Linked DNA regions of Drosophila melanogaster. The protein of the gene in region 4 interacts with the protein of the main gene of each other region in a pairwise test. Each region holds a gene or a part of one and is shown on either strand. Other genes may lie near its edges.

Region 1 (5,203 bases), on a different chromosome or scaffold from region 4:
AAATAATAAGTCCTGTATGTATACAATGCAATACATAAAGGTAGAGTATGTCCTAAAAAGAAAAATATCTTTCCGAATATATGTATATAATTTATAAAATAAGTGGATACATACATTTTTCGTAAGTATCCTAGAAGATTTGCCAACGTATCAGGTTTACAAAAATTGATTACCTATGTGCAGTTAACTTAACGGCAGTGCACTAACTAATCTGATTTGTGAAATAATGCAGATATAAAACATTTTTAAATAGAAATATATTTATACATCTGATTCTTCAACATCTAAGCACTCGTATAGAGTGCTTTGAATATATTCTAAATACATTGGCATGATCCAAGTTTTAAATCAGCCAAAAACTTGCTCCAAAAACAGGAAGATTCTACACAAATCGCCTCGCCCTTAAAGTTTCTGCCAAGTATTTGGGTGCGTGCGGATCAGTTCCGGCCTTCACTTAAGTTTTGCAATCTTTCCAAAGTCAAGAAATAAAACAAGTCGTTTGTAGGCATCGGTACAGATCGATTTTATTAGACTCAGGTCAAATTAAGATTCAAATTCGGGCGACAGTAAAAACCGAAACTAAAGTGTGTCCTTGATCCCAAACCTTGCAATTTAAATACGCACACGCAATAATTTTTATTAAACTTCATCGCTATGTCGTCATTATTACACTAATTATGTGCCTAAACAAATCCCTTGTGTCACACGATAATTCAAACACACAATCGCTCGACGTTAAATCTAAAAATGTTCGTTCGGTTTTGGGTTCGATTTACATAAAATTTCAAGTGACGATCACGTTCGCTAGAGATAATATGTTTAGAAAATTGTATTTGTAATTTAAACACATACATATGTATACATAGTGGTAAGTAGTAGCTGACACAGGACAAGTACAATTGCTCCTGCCGTCGCCTGCGCTCAATTAATGTGTAGTTAATAGTACATATTAGTTTCGGTATGGTTTCGCGCTGCTGTGATAGGTAACTTCTTATTGTAGGTTAAAGTAATATTAGGTTAATTGCTACACCGAATTTGCTTGCTTTGCACTACTTATGAACAGAACTGCGGAAATCAGAGTGACGGTTAGTATTAGGATCGATGTCCTTGTTGCTCGAGTTTAGTTGGGGATGTCTGAAGTCTGGATCGGGATCTGGATCTGGAGCTGGTTGGCTACGTACCTAATACATATTTGCTTAAATTGTTTATCGAATTGGATCACGGTTAGGATCATACAAACGCACTACTCGTCATTCCTCACCATTATTGTTATTACAGAATTAGTTATTATAATTACGATTTCGTGGATCCGCCATCGGTTTCGCTTGTTTTATTATTATTGTGTGGTTTCCGTTTTAATTTATTATATTTAAATTTTGTTTAATTGTATAATAAAATAATGATTCACAATCAGAGTTATTCAGCAGCAACCGGATTTGGTGTTTTCCACTGGACGTCCTTGATCGATTTTCACTTTGCTAGCGTTGTCAGTGGCGCTGGACGGCGGCCCGACGCGATTCTTGATCTCCGCCGCCATCGTCATGAAGGCCTGCTCAACGTTGGTGGCGCTCTTGGCCGAAGTTTCAAGGAATGGAATGCCTAACTGGGCGGCGTACTCCTGGAATTTTGGAAACAAAGACCCAGATTAGTATATACGTGCATCTATGATTCCCAGGACTAAACCAGCAATATACGCACCGCAGCTGTGGTGTGGTCGACTACTTTCTTGGTGGTCAAGTCGCTCTTGTTGCCAACCAGCAACTTGTTGACATTCTCACAGGCATACCGCTCGATCTCCTCCAGCCACTGCTTCACATTGTTGAAAGACTCCTGGTCCGTGCAATCGTATACGACAATGATGCCATGGGCGCCCCTATAATATGAAGACGTGATGGTGCGGAAGCGCTCCTGGCCAGCAGTATCCCACTGTAAACAGACTAATTAGCTCTGGACTAGATTGCCTCTGGCGTTTTTATGCTTACGATTTGCAGTTTAATGGTCTTTCCGTCGAGTTCTATAGTCCTGATTTTCTGCAAGATAAAGGTTTATGAGTCAGACATAAAGAATTTTCACAAATTTCCGGTTGGCTTACGAAATCCACTCCGATTGTGCTGATATAACTTTCTGTATATGTGTCATCGGCAAATCGCAACAGAAGACAGGACTTTCCAACGCCCGAGTCTCCAATAAGCAGCAACTTAAAGAGATAATCGCTGTGGATTTGGAGATAGTTAATATAGTTAATGTTATAAAATAGTTATATAGTTAATAAATTATAGTTAATTTAATAGTTAATGATATAAATTTGTGCTGCGATGTGGGAATAGTTCAGACCCTATGCTGAAACATATAAAACTTCAGAGAAATCTAAATAAAACTGATGATGCATATTTGCGATAGTGATATTACAAGACGAAATGTTTAAAATCAGAGTGTAAAAGGTTTAGTATACATTTAAAGGGAAATAAGTTGGATGACAATCAGTTAGAAATCATTGATTCAAGCAAAACATTTAGAGAGGTGTTTTGCGGGCATAGTTTAGTCGGGCAGATACTAATATATACATAAAACCGGTTTGGTTTAGGCTTTATCTTATCATGCTATGTCCAACATCAACCCCCAATTGCTGAATGATATGCGATAGTGTTCCAATCCTCTGCACACATGTATGCTGGCTATTGAAGGAGGCTTTCTGGAGAGTGCGAACCAAGATCGGTTCAGATTTAATTGCCTTGAGTGAGAGCGGCAATTAAGTAGCACTGGAATGGCCTTTGATTACGTAGCACTGCGCTGGGGGTGGGAAAGGCTCTCCACGCAGGTGACTCATCCGCCCGACTAGCGATTTGGCCCGTCAACTGGGATCTCGCTGTATATATGTGTGGACTTTATACATATGCAGATTCCGATGAGAGTTTCGAACGCGCTTTTCATCGCCTCGCCCGTGGGCACTACATTGAAATCCAGCTGAAACACACAGTTTTGGTTATGGTTTCTCGATTGGGTCGGTTGTTAGGTCCGAGTGTGTATTTTGTTTTTAGCAAATGGTCTGTTTTTTTGGAGTTGCCAACGAGGGCAAAAGGGAGTGGAGTGGGGCTGCTCGATAATGAATGGGAATGAAACGTAGCAGAAATGACGTCGCAGAAAAAATAAAAGAAACTATTTTCGAAGGCCAGAAAAGGAAGTGGAAGCCCAGTCACTGTTTTAACTCCAGATAACTGCGCATAATTACGTGTGACGACTTACTATTCCGGATTCACAGATGACATTTTCTGGCTTTTTCACAAGATTATATATTTGCCACGAACAAATATTCGATTTCTGGCCCTGGACTGGCTGCTGTTCAGAGTGTTTTTATTTGATTTGCGCGTTCCGAAATACTGGAAATCGACACGCACTCGGCTTGTGTTGTGTTTTGCAGTTCGCTATTGTAATTATTGCAGCGAATTTAAATGGGAAATACGTTTATTTCCACAAATTCGACGGCCGAGAACGAGAACAATGGCGACTGAAAAAATGACGAAGTGGCATTAGCGGCAGTGTTGGAAAATGCGCGGGGCCCTCTTCCAACCAGGGCTACACATTATCTTGTCTACGGAGGTGAGTGGGCGGAACCAGAGAAGAAAATATATGGATTATCGCCAAATGACCCCTAACACACCCCATATAAAAACAAAAATACTTAACTTTTGCATACAATCTCTTATGGTACATCATTTGTTTCTAAACACGGCCTTTAACATTTGAGTGTTTGCATAGAGAACACATTAAAGATAATAATAATAATACGCGTAATAGTATATGAAAGAAGATTCGATAGGCGGGTGTAGCGCCTGGGGGAATGCATCTGGCAGATCCGATATACATATGTATGAATTGGGCCGCTACTCCAGCGAATTTAGCGTGAGCAGCTGCTTGAGCACCTTCGTCTGCGAGGTCTCCCGGATCTCGCCCGCCAGGAACATCTCGTCCACCACACTGTACACCTTGTAGAAGTTGAAGACCAGATCCAGCTCGCACACATTATGGAAGTATTCGTTGAGCACCTCCACGAAGTTGTGAATGGCCTCCAGATAGCACAGGTTGTTGTCGTTTACGTCCACGCAGATGCAGAAGTACAGACCCGCATAGCGTCGGTAGACGATCTTGAAGTTGCGGAACTACAAAGGCAAAAGTGTGATAAAAGGGTGATTCAAAAGAACATATGGACTCGATCCCACCTCCACAAAGTTGGTGTGCTTGGCATCGCGCACTGTGACCACGGCATGCACCTCCTCAATCAGTTTCTGCTTCTCGTCGTCATCGAAGTTCATATACCACTTGGCCAGGCGAGTTTTTCCAGCTCGGTTTTGTATAAGTATGAATCGTATCTGGGCGAATGGAAGGTCAAATAGGGGTCTAAGCTTATAGCTGGCTAGTTGCTTACCATTTTTCGGGAAATTGGTTAAACCGTTTCCTGCTTATTTACAACTTTTTTTGTTTCGAGAATGGGGGCGAAAAACTGATTATGAGCAAATTGTGTATCACTGGGACCAGGGCTACCACTACTGTTCCGGAACAGCTGTTACCTCGTCAGTGTTGCAAACAGTTCGCGCAGAAAGCAAACGAGTTGGCAGACCCGCGCGCTGTATTACGAAGTTTCACTTTCATATTTGTTTTGGCCACCACTCCAAACTAGTCATTTACCAAAAATGTTGGCCTCTCGCTTGAATCTCCTGTTGCCCCGCGTATCCTGGCTGCGCGGTTGCTCAACGACAGCGGTGGGCCAGAAACATCAGCGCCAGGTGCCCACGGAGTTCGCCGTACACGATCCTCTGCAGGCTCACGCTCTAAAGGAACAGTGCATCCTGGTTGACGCCAACGACCAAGCCATTGGGGCCGCCTCTAAGGCAGACTGCCACCGTGTGCATCCAGAGACGAATGATGTTAAGCTCCATCGCGCCTTCAGTGTTTTTCTCTTCAATTCTCAGGGAGAGATGCTAGTGCAGAAGCGATCGTCTCACAAGGTGAAATTAAAGGGTAATCCCCTTATTACAAGGTCCATAATCCTCTGTATCCTTAGATAACCTTCCCAAACACCTACACCAACGCGTGCTGCAGCCATCCGCTTTACGAAATCGAACAGGAACGTCAGGAGCGCAACGCACAGGGCATCCGTGTGGCCGCTCAACGACGTCTCAACTACGAACTGGGCATTCCCACAGAG
Region 2 (3,344 bases), on a different chromosome or scaffold from region 4:
AGACGCTTCAGCGGAAGAGGGAGCACGGCGGCGATTCGGGAAATGGCAACGGCAACAGCTCCACGCCCAACGGCAACAGCACCAACAGCAAAAAGCGCCCGCGCTTGGACCCCAACGAGCTGAACTGAGCTGGGCGGCAGGACCTTAAGCCAAGCACCCGATGGACATCCCCACGCAGCACTACTATCCCGAGCGAACACGCAGCCGCCACCATTCATTTACACTCATATACATATATATTAAATAAAATATACTAAGTACAAAGGAGTTGCAGTCGAACGGTCCTTTCAAAGTTTTGTATCACGCTGATCATTGGTCGAAAGCCCCAGTATTTCTTTAGATTTCAGTTGTACCCAAATTAACACAGCTAAATAATGTTTTTGTGACCAACATATGCATACCTCCTTTTGCAAGAAAATACCATCATTCGTATAAAATGTCGAGTACAAAATTTTGTAAGCTTTGTTACTGCTAGTTCATGAATCACGGTATTTTTTTTTCCATTCTTTGGACTTACCTTAGGAAAATATACATGTACTTCTCGCAAAGTTTGTAACCTAAAATGTAATGCGTTTATAATCTGGGAATTGATCTGCATAACCAATTGTATACACTATTATTGTAAATTGGCAATGAATTATTTTGGCAGAAGGAAGATCGACTGAATTCCAGTACAACACATTTATAATAGCACATAATGTGAGTTCCAATAGATTTACTTTTAAAGACAAAGATTGGATGTGATTTGATTACGGTACTCTAAGATTAGTGGTGTCCCAGGTCCTTGGGGTCGGGCTTGCCGTACTGCTTCTCCCACCAGGTCACAAACTCCTTCTTGCGCTGCTCCCGCTTGGCAAAGTACTCGGGGTACTGGGCCTTCTCCAGGGGATGCCAGTAGTCCAGGACCCAGTCGGGCGGAATCACCTCTCGTTCGAAAGCACAGCCACCGGCACTGTTGGCAACTACAACGATAACACACGTTAGATACACAGACATATGACCATACGTTCAATTTGTTTACAGTTTCGGGGCTGGAAATGCCTTGTCTCGAAAAGCTCCCTTTGTCCACAGGCTAGGAGGCGGATGCCCTCGCCCAGATCTTTGGAGCGGTTTTCGTCGAAGCGAGCACGCAGCTGCACAGCGCGGTAGCGGTAGACATTGCTGATGGGCATTAAGAAACAACCAAGATGCACTTGCTCATTATATAATATTTGGGAATTCTGCGCCGAGTGCACTCACCGTCGGTCGTACCACGACTCTAAGTTGCGCAGTGCTCGCTTGTACAGGCTGCACACCTGGCGCTTGTGCGAGACGATTGCCAAGGGAACTTGGGCCATCGTTTTTTACTATATTGGTTAAATTGTATTAATTTGCTACCGCAGCCGAGGCAACAACAACAACAGCTGTCAAAAGTCCAGTGCTCTAAAGCCCTGCGCCTGAAAATATGTGTTGCGAAGCGAAAAATAATTTTAGAGAACGGCAACTCTGAAATGAATGGAAATTCAAAAAATATTTATATATTTGATTTAAATTTTCTATACAAAAGCAATGGCTATCTTTGCATTTTATACAAGCTTTTGTTATTGCAAGAAATCGAAATGATCCTGTCTAGAGTAGATACCTATAACCAAACACTTTTAATGCTTAAAAGCCTTCTTGCTACCCTATTTTATTTATAAAATAAGACTATTTTGACAAATCTGTTATAATTGTATATTAATTACAATTTTTTTTAGGAATAGTTAAAGAAACCAAGAAAGTCAGTCCCATTTTTGCATTTTTTGCAATTCCCTTTGAATTTGCGAGGAACAAGAAAGTAATTTTGTAAATACATCTAGCGAAATGCTTTAATAAATTATAACTGTTAACAAATACTCTTAAGATATAAATATAAAATGTCGTTAGTCCTCTGGCTGCATAACATTCATTATGCATTGAACAATATGCTCTGGTATTTTCAGAGGCGTTTCGCACAACTCGCCCGTTTTTTTGTCCAGCATGTAGATTTCGTTGAGCACACGATCCTCGTGCTCTGGATCCAAGGACGAGACGAGAGCCAGAGATCCTTCCGCAAGCTCGGCGAGAATTTGTTCGATATCCGGTTCGGTAGTGGACGGCGGAATGGGGTCATCCGGCGTTATAAGTTCATGATCTTGGTCTTCAATGAAGTTTATTAAATATGTCTCTGCCTTTCGATTGGGCGTCTCTGGGGCGGGTTCGACGTCGCTGACATAGCTTAGGGTACCATCATCCATATTGATAATAGTTTTATCACGTGGCTTGTTTACATCTACGTCATATTCCACCGGATCATCCATGAGGAGGCCATTGAGCTCAGCCTGCAGTTCTCCCCCCGTTGGCAAATGACTACTCGTTTGTTCGGTTTTGATCGTTTTTTCCTGCTTAATGGCCGCCACATCAGACAGGCTTTCCGTTGCCGCTGGAACTGAAACCTTGGGAGATCGTCGCTTAGCCTTTGGCTTACGTTTGGCCGGCGCACTTCCGTCGTTCTCATCGGTCTCCAACTCCTTTCGCCTTTTGGCCCAGGCGTGCTTGCCGAGCTTTGTACTCGTTACGTGCTCGTTTTCGTAGACAACATCACCATCGTTTAGTGCCCTTGAGGCCTTGCTTTGCTGCTGTACTCGGGAACGCTAAATATAATTAAAAAATGTAATGGTGATTACAGTCAGCTACAAATTATTTACCTTCTTAGGGTTTCCCGGAAGAGCTCGTGCGATTTCCCTCCACTTGCGATCATTTTCTTCCCTTTCGCGGTCCTCCTCTTCCAGTTGATCCTTGAGCTCCTGAATGTTGAAGGCCTTAGGATAGAGGAGTGCTTTGTTTATGAGCTGCCCATTGGTTCGCTCTTCCTTTTTGTACTTCAGCTTTAGATCCCGACGTGAACGTGTTGGAAACATTTGGCACATCAGCGAGAAGTCCGTCCCAATGATCTGCAGGCTGCGGTAGAAGCGGACGGTCTCATCGGAGGTCCAGTATGGCGTGCGCTTGTGGCGTTTATAGAATCCATTATCTCCTGCAAAGTATAAAATTCGTTAAGTATTCAACTTTTATGTATTAACTCTGCGGCGCACCCGTAGTCTCGTCCATTAGGATTAACGATGAGTTGGCTAGCACCTTGCGGGCCTCCACCTCGGCCGTGGTTTCGATCTCCAATGTTTTCTCATCAATGATCATCTCGCCATTGGCATCAAGCTTTAGCTGAGGCACTAACATAGCGGATGTGGACTCTCCCTTGGGTTCCAATAGTTGACTGACTGCGGGCTTGGAATCATCGCCACCAGACTCATCCTTGATGGTCGTCACCGACTGTTTGGGCACCATGG
Region 3 (4,403 bases), on a different chromosome or scaffold from region 4:
ATTCAAAGCTCTGCAAGCGTTTTATTTAAAAAAAAAAAACCACTTGTTTCGAGTGTCCCAACCCTAATAATCTGATAAGAGATGCATTTGCAGTATATTAAAAAACTTTATTTTCCCACAATGAAAATTCGATCGGCCGATTTTTAACTCTTAAAGTAATGAAGAAAAACATTCTGTGGGCTAAAGCACTTAATAATATTTGCAGTACCTATAACTTAAGGTGGAAGAGCTATTTGAACTCAGAATCGGAGTGGAACGATTTTTGCACGAAATTATTAAGGTGGTTAGTTAGATCCTGAAATCGATGGGATTTTTTTTTTTTATATGCATTATTGTACAAAATACTGTTTTAAAAACATTTGTAATTATTTATCGGCTAAAAGTTTACATTCCAATTATTGTGATATTTATATAATAACAAGATATATATTGCAGCTTTTTTAATCAACAACTTTTTCCGCATTCGTAAAAAGTTGATATACTTAATCAACATATTTTATATTTTACTCAGCTGTAAATTAATCAGCTGTAAATTAATTAAACACTCTTTTCCATTTTACTTGTATTTAGTTTATTTTTTATTCAGCTTTCTGGTCTATTCATAGTTTCTAATTCTTAATTTTTGGAATGTCATAAAATCACCTTAAACACTATTACGAATATCATTTAAAAATTGCATTACCAAAGATTGCACATTAATCGTAAAAATATGTAAAAATAATTGCAAATAAATATGCATAAATTGTGTATGTATACAAAAAATGTAATGTATAAAACATGCAATACTCCTTGGGAATTAATTGAAATAAACTAAATGGTGAGTCTAGCATTTTTGATATCATAAATTCTTCGTAGCATTGGCTGTGATGCTCACTTGGTAAACGATCCATAATCAGATCAATACATACGTCTATATAATACAAATCAAGAAAATCAGGCGGTCTTAAACACCTCCAATGGAGTTCTTGTAACACAAATATTTAGCATCCTTAGTCATTGACAGCTAGTTTCCCATAGGATCTTAATCGTGATAAATAGTAAATTAGTTTTTACAATCAATTTCTTTCTGTAAACCAAAGGGGATACAGAAATAATCAATTTTTTTAGTCTTGTAATTAAAATAATAAACCCTTAAGCATGAACAGAATATCACGATAACAGATAACAGATTAGCTGCACAGTTTCCAGATCCGTTTGCACATTGTACTTTAAATGTTTGTTGTTATCGTAGTTTAGTGAAAGCGAAGAGAATTGCTCTAAATACCTTTACATTTAAAGGTATTTGAAGCCGATGTGTTTTAACAATCTAATAGGAATCGTTACAAAGACAAAGGCAAACGATCACGTCATAATCATGCTTATAAAAACAAAATTTAACATATGTATGTATGTGTTAGAATGTGGGAGCATTGTGGTAATAAAAGATAAATGGAATATCACGATTAGTCCTTAACAAGTTACAGATTAGCTGCTCAGCTTCCAGTTCAGTTTGCAGCTGCTCAGCCGCCTTGACTAGAGTTGGAGCCGCCGCTGGCGAGTCCGCCACAGCAATTGCTCTGCGCTGCCTTGGCACTGAAGCTCCCCAGTCCGATGGAGCTGCCCTCCGACTGACGCTGGGCGGCTGCCGCTGCGGCCGAACTACTGCCATCCTTGCTCCTTGCCTGACCAATCAATTCGGCGGCAATCTCGTAGAACAGACGCTCTACATTCTCTGCCTCCTTGGCGGATGTCTCCAAGAAGTACATGTCATGCTGCTTGGCGAACTCTTCGCCAATCTGGGTGGGTATCTCTCGATCATCCCTGTCCGTCTTGTTACCCACCAGGATTTTGAGTACCTTGGAGTTGGCATACTCCTGGATCTCGCGCAGCCAGTCCGGCAGGCAGTCAAATGTGGGCTGGCAGCTGATGTCGTACACCAGGATCAAGGCGTGAGCCGATCGATAGTAGCTTTGCGTGATGGATCGGAACCGCTCCTGGCCGGCGGTGTCCCAGATTTGTAGCTTGATCTTCTCGCCCTCCACCTCCACGGTCTTAATCATGAAATCCACACCAATGGTGGCACCCTGGCCAGGTGGAAATAGACCCTGAGTAAAGCGGCGCACTAGGCATGTTTTTCCAACACCAGCATTGCCCACCAGGACGATTTTGAACAGGAACTTGTAGTCCTCCATTGGGGATGTTGCCAAAAATGGGTTGGTTTTGGGGTTTTTGAGTCGCTGGGTGTGGGCAAGTGTGTGTGTGCTCTGCGAAAGTAGACGAAAGTTAGTCGGAGCTTAGACACACCTAGTCAGCGACGCGTAACGATTATACTTTGCTGGCTGGTGGTGGTTCGTTGGATCAGCTTACGCCATCCCCAGCGAAGACAACGCCTCTCACCTGTGGCTCACCTGGGGCTCTATCACTAGCTGGCCAACGGCTGTTCGCCTTGTTTTTTGGCTTATTTGGCTAAAAGATGATGACTCAACAGCAGCTGTAGATGCTTGTTACTCGCTTATCTATGCGAATCGGCCCCAAATCTATTCAGCAGGCTTTCGGCCAGGTTGACTATGCTTGCAAATTTGTAATCAACTGGTTGCATGCTGCCGCATTAATTGCCAGCCTTAATTTTGCTTATGTTTACCAACAGAATTTTACTGTATTTCGACGTGATGGTATTTGATTAGAGATGTGACATCAATTCCCATAGCAATACTTAACGATGTTTTTCTCGGTATCGATAGATCGACGTTTTGCAAAGCACTTAAAAACTTTTTGAAGTACGGTCACTAGTTATCGATTGTTCATCATCGATAAGTTCTGTGACAACCCTGAAGCCGAAAACAAGCAGCCACGCTAGAGAAGAAAATCTGGTTGAAAATTGGCAAAAATTCTAATTAAAAAATCGCAAAAGCCAAAAGAGAAGTTCGTAAGTCGTCCTACGAATTCCGCTGTGCGTCCCCACCACATTTTGATTTCTCCAAACGTGCCAGACACCGAGCAGGGGACTTTTTTCACGGAGCACCCCGAATTGCAGCGAAGTAATTTTCGAATATGGCCGAGGACTTTGATGTGGAGGCGATGCTCGAGGCGCCGTACATGAAAAACGTAAGTTCCCAAAGGCCGGATAACAGCCAACTATCGTTTAAATTAAGTCCCACTGGCTTTTGTGCCCACCCAAGGCAATTATTTTGCTGTGCAAAAACAAAATGAAAAAAAATAGAAAAACAGTTACTTCATATGTATGTTTGTATACTTCTTTTCCCACATAGACACCCACAGGCGTACGTGCATTTTGTGTTTGTATGTAAGTCGTCTTCGTCTCGGGCACACACACACACACACACACATGTGCAGTCGATGCATACTAAGTGGTCTTAAATCGATTTTTAGCCTAATTTTGCTGTTTAATAAAAAATCGGCAGCCGGAACGCCAATCTGCGTGCTGATTTTCGTAATATTTTTTTTTCACACTAGACTGCGTTCATACAGAAAAGTGTTTCGCCAACGGAAAATCTGTCTGTGTGTGGGTTTGTGTTGTTTATTTTCCTACGCGGCATTTGATACAGTCGTGTACTGCAGTGGGTGTACAGTGGGGTGCAAAATATTTGGCAGGGCTGCAATAGCAACTGAAAACGTTTAACAAGTATCAGGGAAACTTAAAGGATTGAATTACTAACAAGACAGTCATGATTCTGTAAACTATAAAAAACAACGTATTTTAGTGATATTTTATATCTCTTACTAAACTTGGACTTTAATCTGTATTATTGACTGAAACGGATTTTGTAGCAATTGGTATTCCTCTTATCTTATCTGGGCAAACCATCTGTAATAATATTTATTAATAGGTTAAAACTCAGCCATATGAAATCATACTTGAAAAATCTCAATATATTATAAAATAATTTGTAGGTTAGCAAACCACATTTTTCCGTAGCATTTACAAATGCAATTTTCGGTGTGTTGTGGAATAAATCTAATAAAATTATCATTAATTAACCCAAAACCAAAATCAGCATTATTGTCCGACAGCTCGCCAAGGTTTTAGTCAATGTAGTAGTCTATGACATCCAGCTAAAGTTGGAAATTAATTGAATTGAATTCTTTCGCCCCAAACCAACAACTCATGAGTTCAACGCTCCTATTTCTTCCTATCTGCTGTCTCACTAAGAACTACCGACAACTACCCACACACAATCACCATTAAAAAATACAAAAAAAAAAAAAAAAAAAAAAACCAAACAAAAATGCTAGAATAATTCTTAAGGGTGAAATGTCTTTGCAGAGAATCGAATAAGCTCAATATTGTTGCTAGAGATTGTTTTGGTCATTCTAAACACAAAAAGCTGGAGACCATTTGGTAAGTTTTGAATGTGCCAGAAGCTGCGAAAAAAAACCAATTACAAAATTACAAAACAATAAAA
Region 4 (5,435 bases):
TCTCGTCGAGGAAATGCCATCTATAAGAACTAGAAGCCGAACTGCGGCTAATAAGAAATCAGAAAATACGGATATGTCTAGTTCTTTCTGCAACAACAGCGCAAGGCCGAGTAGAAGCTGCAGGCCCACCAGTTTGGTGGAGCCAAGTCTGAAGAACAAGTTGCGCAATGGCTCGAAAGGCAAGGCCAAGGCCAAAAAGTAGATAGACGAATTTTTTAATAGGCTTTAATGTTGTTTCTGTAATTTCATTGGTTTTCAATACCACTTTTTACCATTTTTAATATGAATAATATTTTTAAATCGTCAGGCCCTGATAAGTTTAATTTATAGACTAAAAGCTGACATCGGATTACTTTTTGCCTGCAATAGAGGGCATATTCAGTTCATCCAGCGCTATCGGAAGGAAGACACTCCATCATCATCATCACCCAAAGATGCCAATAGGAATTTAAAAGTACGTCTAATTTTTACATGTTCATTTGTGAATAAAACAACGTTTCAATTAATTATTTGTTAATACGCTTTTAGGGGAACTCATTTTATAGATTCCTCTTAGATGCAAACTACGTTTATTCGCACAAAGTTGTTGGAAACATTTACAAAAGACTCTGAAGAACAAAGTACAATTACAATTACAATTAAATACAGTAGCAAAAGGGTAATGATTATACGTAGGTAGGCGATAATTGCACTTCTTTTAGACTACCTCGAACTTGCCCATACAACAGTTGAGATGGTCTCCTGCATGGTTGTGGCTTGGCTGCTCCGTGTTCTCCTTGATCTCGCTGATAATGTCCTGTATCTTGTTGATGATCTGTTGCGAGTTTTCACCTTCGCCAGGAGTGTGTTCGCTACCTGCGGCCGCTTCTGGTTGCTTTGCCTGGGCGGCATCTGCGGGTAGCTCCACGCCCAAACTGACCACCAGCTTGTTTAGTGCCTCAATCTTCTCGCGCAGCTGCTCTCGCTCCGCTTGCAAGAGACGCATTTGGGCGGCCTTCTCGTACTCACGCTGCTTTAGCATGCGCCTCTGCGTTTGATAGAGGGCAATGTACTCGCCAATCGTTTCGGTTTCGCTCTGCAGCTGGAGCACCAGATGCTCCAGGCTGTGCTTCTCCTCCGTCAAGTCGGCGACCTGGCTGATCAGTGTGGTGAAACGCGATTGCAAGCGTTCCACGGCCTCGGCGGTGGGCAGCGTTTCAGCTGCTTGTCTGTGGGCGTGGTTCTGGCCGTGATCATGTGGATGATCATGCTGATGATCGTGTGGATGGCTATGTGAATGATCATGTGTGTGATCGTGCGGATGATCATGTGGATGACCATGATCACCAGCATTATGATGGTTATGTTCATGGGAATGATCGTGGTCATTATCATGACAATGACCGTCGGAATGCTGATGAGAGTGATCGTGCGAATGATTATGCAAAAGACCAACTTCCTTCGCTTCCTCTGCTTCGTTTTCCGGTGCATCTGCTCCATTCTCTTTTTCGGTTTCCTCACCGGCGTGATAAGCTTTTGCCTGAAAGAAATGATAATGGGATATAAAGTCAGTTAAATTTTAATCCCAGTCCAACCCACCTCATAATGCCTGAGACGGTCCAGCTGCTGTTGCAACATTAACTGCTGACGTTGTAGTTCCACGTTCTCGTGCGATAGTCTAATCATTTCCTCATCCTTGAACTTAAAGCGCTCCTCATTTGCTTGAAGCTTTTGCTCCATGCTGTTGTAGTTCTGGCGGATTTCTCGGTTGGCAAACTCTTCTGAATCCAAGCGGATGACCAGCTCGGCTTTGTCGTTTGTCAACTGAACAAATCGCTGCTGCAGTTCGTCCAACTGGTTTTTCATCTCTACATTCTGGGTTAGGGCACGCGATGCGGCCACTTTGTCTGACTCCATGGTGGCCAACAGCTTGGACTGATCGGGCTGCTCAGCTTGCAAGCGTTCGAGTTGCTTTTCCAACTCGTCTAAAGCCGAGTTCTTTAACTGCAGCTGATCGTCCTGCGACTTGATCTTCAGCTGGAATTCGTGGCGCTCAAACTCGAAGTTTTCGATCTGCTCTTTCAAGACAGCCAGTTCATCTTTTAAGGCTTTCTGAAATTGAACTAGGAGATTAAACAGGTTTTCCATATTTTTTTGGCTTACTTACCTGCTCGCTGGTTTCTTCCTTGGATGGCTGCACTTGACTGGCCTCTTTAAATTGGGCCTGCAGGCTGATGTTCTTTTGTATATCCCGCTCCAGGGCGCCCACGTGCTCCACAAGCTGGCGTTCTCGCTCCCTCAGTGAGTTCAGTACCTCTGAGAGTTCTGTGTTTCGTTCGTTGAGCTTGGCGATCTCGCCACTCTGATGCTGCACATAGTTTTGATACTGACCAGCTGCCTGCTCCTTGTCCTGCGTTAGTTGACCCACCATCGCTTGGAGGTCGCGTATCTGTTGCTCGTACATGTATTGTGTTTGCACCAGCGACTCCACTCGGTTGTCTGTGGTGACGCTAGACTCGTCTGAGAGCTGCCGCAGCTTCAGCTGCGCCATCTCGAGTTCGTTCGATTTTTGGGAAAGCTGTTGCTGCAGTTCCTCTTGATGCTGGTTGCTCTGCTTTAGCTGGGCCTCTAGTTCGTTGAGATGCGACTGTTGGTCCTTGATTTGTGCCTGCGATTGTAGCAGTTGTGCCTGGAGTTGCGCGTACTGCTGTCGCTGCTGCTCACCGGTCGACTGTTGATCCTGGCAGTGCTGTTGTAGCTGCTCCAGACGCAATTGATTCTGATCCTTGAGGATGCGAAGCTCCTCCAGCTCTAGCTCACGCTCCCGGCAAGCCAGGCGAACCTTGGTCAGCTCCGCATTGAGCTGGGCCTTTTCAGCGATGATCACCTGGATGGCCTGCAAGCTAGAGGCATCTGCCAGTCCACCATTGTGTTCCGACTCGTTTTGGGCAAAATAAGAAGCGGCTGTGGGCAGGGCAGACTGCTCCGGCGGCTGCGTCCCACCTGCTCCTCCACCGTTCACATTTATCTCGCTGTCTGACCGTTCCGACAGATTGCTGGATATGCTCACAGTGGACGAGTGCGATTGCGTGGTGGCAGCCACCGGCTCCTCTGCTCCCGGCTGCCCATTGTTGTTGCTGGCGCGCTGCTGGTACTCCTTCAGCTGTGTCCACAGAAGCGTGTTAAACAAAATCAATATTAGTCGGCCAATATGTGTCCACGTCACAAGAGCAAAACAATTGTGTGTGGCACTGGTTGTCGCACCTTTTTCCTTGCCGCGGCCAACTTCTGCGCCTTGGCATCCTGCGTGTCATCGGGCATGTCCTTCGGGGTCAGCAGCGGTACCTTTGCCACACCTGGAGTAAGCTCGGTTCGGAAGGCGAGCCAACAAATGTAAATTAAGCTAGGCAAAAGTGGAAATTTCTGAATGTTGATAACAGGTCTGAAGTTCAGTATGACCGTACGCGTTTAGAGCCAAAATGCCGCGCGAACGGGTACACTAGGCGGCAGGGAAAGCACAGTTATATATTGGCGCGCATTTTTAGCTTTTTTTTCATTTTTAAAATCGAACACGTATATATGCGTATCCGTTTTCAATAAACAGAGATTATGTACAATTAAGAAATTTCACTCTACTTGCATAAACGTTCATGCGAGGAGGTTTTGAGAAATACTCTTCAAATTAAAAAAAAAAAACAGTATTATTTATCGAAACAACCATTAGTTCATCGTTTCTTATCACTTCACTTAAGTCGGCTTCCTAATTCAGTCGTAGTTAAGCCGCTGTGAGGAGTAGAAGTCCAGGTCGATACGATGTACAACCTTATCAAGGGCTCCTTGGCAACATACTGCTGCCTGTGCCTGCTACTGATATTGATTGACCCAGCGGAATCGGGACAACTGTCAACGAGATTCAACGTGAGCTTCGCCCAGCTGGATTCCTGCGAAACCTACTCCGTTCCGAATACGGGCTATGGCTACCGGAGGTTCTACATGCTGCGCGAGCTGAGCAACAACAACAGGAAGGCCGGAGAGCGGCTGCACTTGAAATTCTACGTCCTGACCGCCATGGATGCGCACATCCTGCTCTCGGTGACGAATCACCCGCGCCCAAATGATCGCGTTTACGAGATCGGTGGGTGAAATCAATAATATTCAGTTTTAATTCCAGCATTTCAATGAGCTCTTTCTAGTGGAACCCTACCTAAATATTCAATTGATATCTTTATTCCGCTTGCAGTGATAGGAGCCGGCGGAAATACGTTTTCCGCAATCCGGAATGCTATGGGAATGAGGCGGGTGGCCACGAATCAAGAGCCGAACTTGGTATCGCTGTACGACCCGACGCCAATTGAGATTGTCCAAAACCAGAGTGAGTTCCCCCATCTTATCGGGTATTCCCTGCCCCTCCAACGCACAGTATATTTCCAGATGGCGAGCTGTTTGTTTACATACCCGGCTTCAAGAAGGAGCCCCTGCTGCAGTTCATCGATGAAGCACCGCTGGTCATCAACTATCTGAGTTTCAGCTCCTTTGGTTCCAATACGGCGCGGTGGTTTTACGACTGTGGCTTCGATGGTTATGGTAAGGATGATATATAGTAAGCTATAAGTCTATATCTGTAAGTATGTTCTAAAACTGACCCATTTCAGGGTCGGAAATTGCACCGATAGTGAAGGAGGAAACGAAGACGGAAAAACTGCTAAGCCATCTGAATATCCAGGCGGAAAATGCAAGCATGCCGGCTAATCTCAGCTCCATATCGTTCCACTTCCAAACGCGCTCCCTCGCCTACGAGCAAACCAGTTCCTTGCTTCAGACCCGCATGCACATGATGATGGTAATGAAAGATAAGCTCGAAATGCAAATATTTAGTGTGAAACAGTAAAGATACATTCGCCTATCCATGCAGCACTGGAGGGATAGTCGTCTTGTCTGGAAACCCGAGGACTTCGGCTCGCTGGAATCTTTCGAACATCCTGACCTTCGTATATGGAAGCCGCATATGAACGTCCTCAACGGCGCCCTGCAATCCATGGGTCAGGTCCTCCAATCCTATGAGCTGATGGTCTACGCCAACGGAAGCATCACCCTGTACGCTCAAAACCTCCAGCTGGCCAGTTGGTGTGTGGACAGTGCCCGAAACTGGCCAAGCGAGCGAGTGACTTGCGACATCGAGCTGGGTCTCAATGGCCAGGAGGGGCAGGAGAATGTGGCGCTAATCTACGATGATCAGCGCAAGCCGATTGCGCCCAATGAGCACGTGAACACGCCATCCGGCTGGTCGTTCACGCAAATGTCCGTGGTGCTGGTGGAGAACGATTCGCAAAGGCGATACAACCCCAAGGGAATGATGCAGAAAATGACCGGCGATGTGGCAATTGAGTTCACGCTGCAAAGGAATCGGAGCTTCTACATGACCGTCTTCTATTTGCCGTTGATTGGTAATATGAAAA

Evidence for each region.
Region 1: the proteins of GM130 (region 4) and Rab1 interact in a two-hybrid assay, tested with the Drosophila melanogaster proteins (one study listed by BioGRID).
Region 2: the proteins of GM130 (region 4) and ND-B22 interact in a two-hybrid assay, tested with the Drosophila melanogaster proteins (2 studies listed by BioGRID).
Region 3: the proteins of GM130 (region 4) and Rab30 interact in a two-hybrid assay, tested with the Drosophila melanogaster proteins (one study listed by BioGRID).

The regions. Positions count from the first base shown.
Region 1 is NT_033777.3:21,265,528-21,270,730, forward strand, and holds Rab1 (Rab1), read right to left. Parts: upstream 3,534-5,203; 5' UTR 3,267-3,533; coding exon 3,244-3,266; intron 2,268-3,243; exon of another isoform or gene 2,214-2,267; coding exon 2,093-2,213; exon of another isoform or gene 2,031-2,092; coding exon 1,983-2,030; exon of another isoform or gene 1,927-1,982; coding exon 1,699-1,926; exon of another isoform or gene 1,619-1,698; coding exon 1,421-1,618; 3' UTR 502-1,420; downstream 1-501. Other genes in the region: AP-2sigma (adaptor protein complex 2, sigma subunit), read right to left, coding at 3,882-4,157, 4,218-4,367, 4,424-4,426; Idi (Isopentenyl-diphosphate delta isomerase), read left to right, coding at 4,689-5,003, 5,060-5,203.
Region 2 is NT_033779.5:13,369,603-13,372,946, forward strand, and holds ND-B22 (NADH dehydrogenase (ubiquinone) B22 subunit), read right to left. Parts: upstream 1,425-3,344; 5' UTR 1,338-1,424; coding exon 1,240-1,337; intron 1,162-1,239; coding exon 1,022-1,161; intron 963-1,021; coding exon 766-962; 3' UTR 501-765; downstream 1-500. Other genes in the region: CG31855 (uncharacterized protein), read left to right, coding at 1-128; Bdp1 (B double prime 1), read right to left, coding at 1,902-2,651, 2,706-3,034, 3,093-3,344.
Region 3 is NT_033779.5:7,029,935-7,034,337, forward strand, and holds Rab30 (Rab30), read right to left. Parts: upstream 2,673-4,403; 5' UTR 2,303-2,672; intron 2,244-2,302; 5' UTR 2,172-2,243; coding exon 1,500-2,171; 3' UTR 559-1,499; downstream 1-558. Other genes in the region: caper, read left to right, coding at 3,031-3,084.
Region 4 is NT_033778.4:22,124,063-22,129,497, forward strand, and holds GM130 (golgi matrix protein 130 kD), read right to left. Parts: upstream 3,441-5,435; 5' UTR 3,301-3,440; coding exon 3,244-3,300; intron 3,143-3,243; coding exon 2,147-3,142; intron 2,092-2,146; coding exon 1,579-2,091; intron 1,520-1,578; coding exon 698-1,519; 3' UTR 505-697; downstream 1-504. Other genes in the region: mei-S332 (meiotic from via salaria 332), read left to right, coding at 1-202; NtR, read left to right, coding at 3,793-4,114, 4,220-4,351, 4,411-4,563, 4,632-4,819, 4,892-5,423.